Sus scrofa: one gene and its partner. The protein of the gene in region 1 binds, or shares a complex with, the protein of each later gene. Links are inferred from orthologs where the notes say so. Each region holds a gene or a part of one and is shown in the gene's direction. Other genes may lie near its edges.

Region 1 (4,484 bases):
TTTTTTAAAGAGCAGAGTGAAGAGGTGTTTTTAGCCCTGTGGGGTACGACTTACATGTGGCTTTTGTGGTCTGTGCTCTTTGGATGTTTTCTGCATGTAACTGCAGTTTTAAAAAGTTCCAAACCAAGCTTTTGTTTCTGTCTTCTTATAAGAAGACAGCTTCGTGGACGGGCTTCCGGCTGGGCTCGGCGCGCCTCCCAGCCAGGGGTCCGCTGCTGCCCCTGCTGGCTCCCAGCCTGGGCCCCCCACCGCCGGGCTCCCAGCCTCTCGCTCAGCTCTGCCTCCTACACGCACCCCTGATCCCTCTGTGGGGAAACCGAGGCGTGGAGAAGCTGCTCCACTCTGAGTGCTGGCGCCGGAGTGGGAAGGAGCCCTGAGCCCTCCGCCCTCTGCCCGGGTTTCTGTGGCTCAGCGCCCCCTCCCCACGCTGTCTCCCCCGTTGCCCTTCACATCTCACCAGCCTGCCTGCCAGTCATCCACCTTGGTTTCAGGGCCTCCTGTCCTGCCCTCTGGGCCCCTGGGGGCAGGGTGAGAGAGGACCACATCACTCAGGAGCCACAGAGGAGGGCCACCTGTGGCCGACTTCTCACTTCCTGTGGCTCCTCCTTCTCTGGACCTGGCACCCATCCAACCTCCCTATTACTCCCTCAACAGCAGGCCTTGCTGCCCTTCCACTGGCAGAGAGTTTTACCCCACTGGGTTTGTTTCCATATCCACAGAAAATAAAACTGCCCATTGCCCACTTCTTCCAGGCCTCCTCTGGGGCCTTCGGGGTGCCCAGGGCCCCGTGGCAGGCCAGGGACTGAGAGCCCCAAGGTCTGGCAGGTCTTTGATTCTCAAGGTGTGGGGGAAAGGACAGGACAGGCATTCGAGTTCTGAGGCCAGGTGCCCCACGACCACAGGGGCCCCCGTGTCCTCCTGCGCTGAGAAGTCGGCTAGAGCGCTGTGGGCTTCGTTCCTGCTCCTTTTTCCCTCTCAGCACAAAACAGGTTTGCAGGCTGTACTCCCGAGTTTTCCAGGAAAACAACTGGCTGGCGTGCACATCGAGGAAGCAGCATTTTGCTCAGTTCATTTTGGAAAACAGTCCCCTTCCCTCCCCACCCCCGACCCCGGCCCTGGAGGTAGGAGCCCCACACGTGACGACTGTGGCGCGCTCGAGGCTCTTCCACGGGTTCTGTGACAGGGACACCTCTGATTACGCCAAGTACTCAAGTGCTTGCGGTCCCAGACTCCGTCCTCTTCTCCCACGCGAGGGCAGTGCGCTCCGCAGATCAAGCCGCACGGGCAGGTAAGTTTGCGGGCTGGCAGGACAGTGGCAGCAGGGGTGGGAGCCCCGGAGTTCCCACCTCGAGGGCAGCTGCGGGCTGAGGGGCGGTGCCAGGAATCTGGGGAGGCGCCCTCCATCTCGCCCCGCCCCGCGCCCCCCTTCCGGGCCAGGCGCCAGCACGACTACAGCTCCCAGGATGCCTCGGACGACTGGACTACACTTCCCAGGATGCTCCGCGGGCCGCAGGCCCGACTGGGCCTGCGCGCGGCGCCCCAGTGGGAGGGACCGCCGCCAAGGCGCGAGAACGCGGGAAGTCTGGAGCCCCTGGCGCCGCTGCCGGAATATGAGTCTAGACCGCGAGCTTCGCCGTGAGTTCCCTGCCGAGCGCCCGAGCGCAGGGGCCGGGAGCGGGCCTGGCTCTCCCGGGCAGGGGGGCTCCGCATCCAGGCCTCGTCCTTCTTTTTGCAGAGCTGAGCAAGGCCAAGGCTAAGGCGCAGAGGAGCGGGCAGCTGCGGGAGGAGGCTAATCTCTGTCACCAGCTAGGGGAGCTCCTGGCCAGCCATGGTGCGTGGGGTGGAGTCCGGGACTGAGAGGGGGGCGTCGGGAGGACCGGGGGGCCAGGGGCCGGAGGTGGGGAGGCGGCAGGGCGGGGGCCTGCTCAGTGTGCCGCCCAGGGCCGGTCGCTGCCCCACTGGCCCTCGCGGCCCGTGGCCCCCTGTCCGGCCAGACTGGAACGTGCCCCGCCCGCCCAGGCCGATACGCCGAAGCCTTGCGAGAGCACCAGCAAGAGCTGCAGCTCCTGGAGACCGCCGGCGACCCCCTGGGCTGCGCGGTGGCCCACCGCAAGATTGGGGAGCGGCTGGCGGAGATGGAGAACTTCACCGAGGCCCTGCAGGTGAGTGGAGGCCGCGTCTCCTGGGCCCGCGTTGCCCGAGGGTCCGTTTCTGAGGAGGGAGTACAGCCTCCACCGTCCAGGCCCCTGGGGAGAGGGGGACACGCTACCATTGGGCATCACCTTCAGAGAACCCTGTGCCAGGCGACGGCAGCCTGGTCTTTGGATGGGTACACCACAGCCGGGCCGCAGAAAGCCCTCGTGAACATATTTCTGGAGCTGAGTTTGTGGGCTGGTTGGAATCCTGACTTTTTCTACACAGAGCTGCCTAGTCCCTGGCTTCTGGGGCTGCAGCAGCCCCCCTAACTCCCACTCATCTCCCCGGTGATGACTCTGGCTGGTTGGAGCGGGGTGCTACCGTCCCCACAGGCAGCCCTTGGCAAAGAGATAACGGGTGTGTGTGGCATACTCTGGGGGCTTGGGGAGTGGAGAGCTCTTCTAGGCGTCCCCCTGGAGTTGGGGAAGGCGTGGGTTGCTTGAGGTGGGGCTTGGCTCACAGGGGTCATTCTGTGCCCCAGCACCAGCACCACTACCTGGACCTGGCACGTTCCCTGTCCAACCACACTGAACAACAGAGGGCCTGGGCCACCATTGGCCGCACTCACTTGGACATCTATGACCACCAGCAGACAGAGGACGCCTTGCTGCAGGCGCAGGCGGCCTTCGAGAAAAGCTTGGCTATCGTGGATGAGAAGCTTCAGGGTGACTGCCCTTGGGACCTGGCTCTCCCCACCTTCTACCTCCCGAACTCCGCGGGGAGAGGAGGCTTCAGCCCCAGCGCCTGCCTGCCCTGTGTGGCAGGACCCCCCTGAGGGGACGCCTGGCCTGTGCTCCTCCCCGCCTGGGGTCTGGCTGCCTCTGCTCTTTGTCCCTCCACACTGCAGCAGAGCCCCTGGTGCCTACGAGAGGCTGGATAGGGCCTAAGGCTGGCGAGCCCCAGCGGGCCGAGGTGCTGAGTGTCTGGAGGCATGTCTTCCAGGGACACTGGCCAAGCGGGAGCTGAGTGAGATGAGAACCCGACTCTACCTCAACCTGGGCCTCACCTTCGAGAGCCTGCGGCAGGCCGCCCTGTGCAGCGCCTACTTGAAGAAGAGCATCTTTCTTGCTGAGTAAGGCCTCACTTGACCCCTAGAGGGAGCCGAGCGCCCCGTTCCTGGAGGAAGCAGCTGCTGCCCCCTAGGCTGCTCCCAGACCCTGCTGTGAGGGGTGAGGAGCGAGGGGCAAGGGGCTGGGCTGACCTCACACCTCTGCCCCTGGCAGTTTCCTATTAGCATAGAAGCCTGGCACGTCTGTGCCTCAGGCTGGGGCCAGAGCAGGCTCTGCTTCGTGGGGGCTGGGATCCCAAATGGCATCAGAGGTTGCACATCGGCACTTCCGGTGCCCACCCTGCTGTCCCAAAGCCAAGTGCCTCAGCACGAGGGCCTGTCCCCACCCACAGGCAGAACCACCTCTACGAGGACCTCTTTCGCGCCCGCTACAACCTGGGAGCCATCCACTGGCGTCAGGGGCAGCACTCCGATGCCATGCGCTGCCTGGAGGGGGCCCGGGAGTGCGCACGCCTCCTGAAGCAGGGCTTCATGGAGAGCGAGTGCTGCGTGCTCATCTCGCAGGTGCCAGTGGTTCCCGGCAGCTCCGGGCCCAGCTCCCGGGGTGGGGTGGGGGGGGTGGGGGTGGGTGGCCGGCCTTCGGAAGCCTGCGAGCCTCCCTCCCCTTCCCCCCCCCCAGGTCCTCCAAGACCTTGGGGATTTTTTGGCTGCCAAGAGAGCCTTGAAGAAGGCCTATAGGCTTGGCTCCCAGAAGCCTTTGCAGAAGGCAGTGGTCTGCCGGACCCTCAAGTATGGTGAGCCTAAAGGGGACCCTGGGGGCTGAACCCCTCAAAGGGGGTAGGAAGTTCCCCTCCTCCTTCAGCAGAGGAGGCCTGGGCGTGTGTCTTTTGGGAGGTGACAACAGCCACATGGGGCCCCCCCACCTCGTTGGGAGGAGCTTCTCAGGGTGTCGGGGTGGGGGCGATGAGGTGGGAGTGCGGGCAGTCCGTGTGGCCTCAGGGCCTGGTAGGGGGCAGTCAGCGGGGTCCCCATGCTGCCAGTCCTTCTCTGCCCTAAGCGGTCCTTAATCAGCCTTCCCAGTCCTTGTGGTGACCTCTCGAGGCAGCTCCGCCCCCCCGTCCAGCCTCCTTGCCGACCCACATGCCAGCGCAGGCTGGGGCTTGCAGGTGGCAGGGCTGGGTCAGGCCCCCTGCCACCCAGCACGAGGCTCTTTCCGGCAGTGCTGGCGGTGGTCCAGCTGCAGCAGCAGCTGGAGGAGTGTGAGGGTCATGACCCGCAA
Region 2 (3,804 bases), on another chromosome or scaffold:
TTGCTCTTTATAAGTTAATACCTGTGTGACACTTAAGAGTGATATGAATCATTTCAAATGTTGGTGGTGATGGCAGTTCCTCTTACTGGTATATTAATGTTGCTTAGAATGTGAGTTCTTCTTACACTGCTGTCATTCTCAAGTTTTTCACCTACTAGAAAAATGAGAAGCAAGCCAGCATTATTTAAAATATTGCTAAGTGAGCATTGTGTTTCTTTATGATTGATTATTGTATTTCCTTTTATAACAGAAGATTAATGTTGCTGTTTGTTGTTCTTAGAAGTGATTATTGGTTGTTTTTTTTAACATCTATATATTCTTCTAGAAGCATATTGTGTTTTCCTTCAGAGCTTGAATTTTAAACTTTTTGTTTTATGGAAATGACTTTGAATTTTATCATCTTTTTTGCTATTCTAAGATTGAATAAAATATAAAAGTTTATGCAGCACATGCACCACTACTACTTGGACAAATGCTTAGTGATCTTTTAAATTCATTTTTTTTCAGTGAAGATTTCAGTAGCAGTAATAGACTCTAAAAAGAAGAATATATCTTCTCTTAATTACTTTATTGAACAAAGGGTGCTCATTTGTTGACTATCATTAAATGTAGTCTCCCATCATTAAGGAAATTTACAGACCCCCATCATTAAGGAAATCATAATATATTTCATGTAGTAAAGAGATCTGTTCCTCTTCTTTTAAAATCACAATTTAAATTCACCGTTCATGTTAAATAACTGAAAGTTATAAAAACTTAGTTTCAAGGAGGTTAAGTGACTGTTTCAAGATGTTATAGCTAATCTTTTTACGTACTATAGCAATTAAATTTAGTTATACCTCTTGTTGCAAACTGGGTTGTGCCAGTCTGTAAGTTAAATGCAAGATAAAAATATAAAGAAATAAGGGTATCAAGAAAATATGGAATAGTAACATGATGAAGCCTATGGAAAAGTAAATGTATATTTAGGAGCATAATGTATGATCTTATGGTGTTCTTAAAGTTGGACTGTAAATTTGCCTCTGAGTTTCCTAGCAGCCAGAGCAACGAGGGATATCTGCTTAATTGCAATATTCAATTTATATATTCACATAATGTATAACTACACACTATGTATATTTGTATTAAATGCCAGTTGCTCAGGCAGTGTATGTTCTTTTTGGCCCAGAACTCTGAGAGAGTTGTCTCTTTAGTGAAATTCTTAGCATAAGTCTTTTCACTCTTAATATATGTTTCTTCCTATTGCCAACTTTTACTTGGTTCTATGTGTTTTAAATATAAAATTTTTAGAAGAATAATAGAAGTTTCTGGTTAGAAGATAACTGTACTTTCTGTGTCTGCTCTTCTTTGTTAGGAGTTCTTGTTAAATCATGGGCACAAATTTTTGCCACCTCTAAAGCCCAAAAATTACTATTCCGGATCATAGACTGTTTACTGCTGCCACATACAGTGTTACAGCAAGAGAAGGAGCTACCTGCACCTATGTTGACTGCGATTCAGAAGAGTCTTCCTTTGTATCTCCAGGTACAGTAAGTGTGGCTGCTTAAAGTTTAAAAAAATAGGAAAGAGAGAAAGAAAAATTTGTCACTTGACTTTAAACCACTTTACTGACTGCAGGTTTCAAAGTGGTACATTGTAATCCTGATGTACATGTGTGATGTTGCACTTCCCTTGAACAGGCTTAAAATCCCTTTTGTGCTGAGTTCTGTAAACAAAGGTGGAAGAGGCAAAGTCTCCACCTTCAAGAAGCTTAAAGTTGCAAGCATAGACACAGCAGTGTGCTCAGTATTTTCCTTAGAGGCCTTAGCTGTCTGTTAGCCGTTCTGGGATGAGGAGATGCAAGAGAAGATACTGTAGTAAAGGATGTTAGGTGTCAGAGAGCAGAGTGGGTAGGAGTTGAAGGAGAGTCCTGTCAGAGGGAACAGCATGTGGAGGACATGAGCTACAAGAAAATATGATGTTCTCTTCCAGCTGGAGACGCATCAGGAGGAAGCGTGTAATGAAGGGCTTTGGGTGCCGTGCTCAGAAGATTGGACTTATTCTTGTACATGGGGACTGTTGATGGCTTTGACACAGAGAAGTGGGGTCGCATGTCATATTTACATTTTAGAAAGGTGATTCTGGTGGCATCATTGAAGTTGGTGTGGAAGATGGATTAGAGACTTGGAAGGCAATAAGTTGTTCATTATTTGAGGGTTTTGAACTAAGGCAGTGGTTATAGAGGCACACAGCAGATTTCAGAAACATTTAGGATCTCCAGTCACAAAGTCTTGCTGAGTGACCATTGTAGAACAACAGAAAGAAATAGAATACTCCCTAGATTCCATGGTGGCTGTTTATGTCAGTAGTAGTTCTACTAACCAAAATGGAAAATTCTCGAGACATAGGAATGAAATTAAGAATTGATTTCTGGAGTTCCCGTCGTGGCGCAGTGGTTAACCAATTCGACTAGGAACCATGAGGTTGCGGGTTCGGTCCCTGCCCTTGCTCAGTGGGTTAACGATCCAGCATTGCTGTGAGCTGTGGTGTAGGTTGCAGACGCGGCTCGGATCCTGCATTGCTGTGGCTCTGGCGTAGGCCAGTGGCTACAGCTCCGATTAGACCCCTAGCCTGGGAACCTCCATATGCCACGGGAGCGGACCAAAGAAATAGCAAAAAGACAAAAAAAATAATAATAATAATAATTGATTTCTGAGCAGCTTCGATGTGAGATGCTGTGGAATATCTAGGTAATGATGTCCAGTAGGTACTTGGAAACACTGATCTGTCATGAAGGGGAAAGGATGGGGCTAGAGATACACTTCATTATTTGTTAGTACCTGATACTGAAGATATGGGCTTCTTACCTTGGTATCCAGCAAAGGAAATTGAGGAGGAAGAGGAGAATGGATTTTGATTAGGTAATAAGCAGTCTCTTACACAGATGGATTTTTAAAATAGATTTTCACAATTTCCAATAAATTTTAAGTTGGCTCTTTAAACGCTAAGTTAGTAGCATTTAAAACAAAGTTTAGTGTGTCCATTATCAGAAAGGTAAAGCTTGGGCTACCAGTCCCACAGAGGGGAAGATGGGTGGAGGGGACTTATGGGCAGCAGGCGAGTGTGGAGTGCTCGCCCTGTGTGACCCTCTGAAACCAAAATAGTCCACTTAATAAGAATTCGTATAAACTTCCTTAGTTGAAAAATCCAGTGAAGTATCCATTTGACAGAACTGGTTTGGAACTCTTTTATTTCTTAAGGGTATAAACTCTCCTCTTCAGAATTTTTAAAAAATATCCATTTATTACTTTATCTTCTGACTTAACATGCTTTTTCTCAAACAGAGCATTGAAGAAACGTGTGGGGGGGTGGCTTTTTTTTTTTCCCAATTGTTGTTTAAGAGTTTTGTTTTGTTTTTCTTCTTTTTAGGGCCGCACCTGCGGCATATGGAAGGTCCCATGCTGGGGGACAAATCGGAGCTGCAGCTGCTGGCCTACACCACAGCCACAGCAATGCTGGATCCAAGCCATGTCTGTGACCTACACCACAGCTCACTGACAACACCGAACCCTTTAACCCACTGAGCAAGGGCAGGGATCGAACCCACATCCTCATGGATATTAGTCAGGTTCTTAACCCACTGAGGCATGACAGGAACTCCCTTAAGTGCTTGTGTTTTAACAACTCTGTGCTATTCTTAATTAGAAATAAACTTTCAAAATTTCTTATTGGGTAAATACCATTTACAGCTAAAGTGAAAATATGTCTATCATTTCTGATTATTTCTCTGGGAAAATACATTGCAAACCACAAATTTACCAAATT

The links.
Region 2: TONSL (region 1) and MMS22L share a complex: the UniProt entries of both Homo sapiens proteins name them as parts of the MMS22L-TONSL complex. The link is inferred for Sus scrofa from reciprocal best matches to the Homo sapiens genes TONSL and MMS22L.

Annotation. Positions count from the first base shown.
Region 1 is NC_010446.5:348,464-352,947, forward strand, and holds the start of TONSL (tonsoku-like protein), read left to right. Parts: upstream 1-1,528; 5' UTR 1,529-1,610; coding exon 1,611-1,635; intron 1,636-1,735; coding exon 1,736-1,831; intron 1,832-2,019; coding exon 2,020-2,162; intron 2,163-2,677; coding exon 2,678-2,861; intron 2,862-3,138; coding exon 3,139-3,268; intron 3,269-3,597; coding exon 3,598-3,769; intron 3,770-3,884; coding exon 3,885-3,999; intron 4,000-4,425; coding exon 4,426-4,484. UniProt on the Homo sapiens protein: Component of the MMS22L-TONSL complex, a complex that promotes homologous recombination-mediated repair of double-strand breaks (DSBs) at stalled or collapsed replication forks.
Region 2 is NC_010443.5:64,327,447-64,331,250, reverse strand, and holds part of MMS22L (protein MMS22-like), read left to right. Parts: intron 1-1,354; coding exon 1,355-1,524; intron 1,525-3,804. UniProt on the Homo sapiens protein: Component of the MMS22L-TONSL complex, a complex that promotes homologous recombination-mediated repair of double-strand breaks (DSBs) at stalled or collapsed replication forks.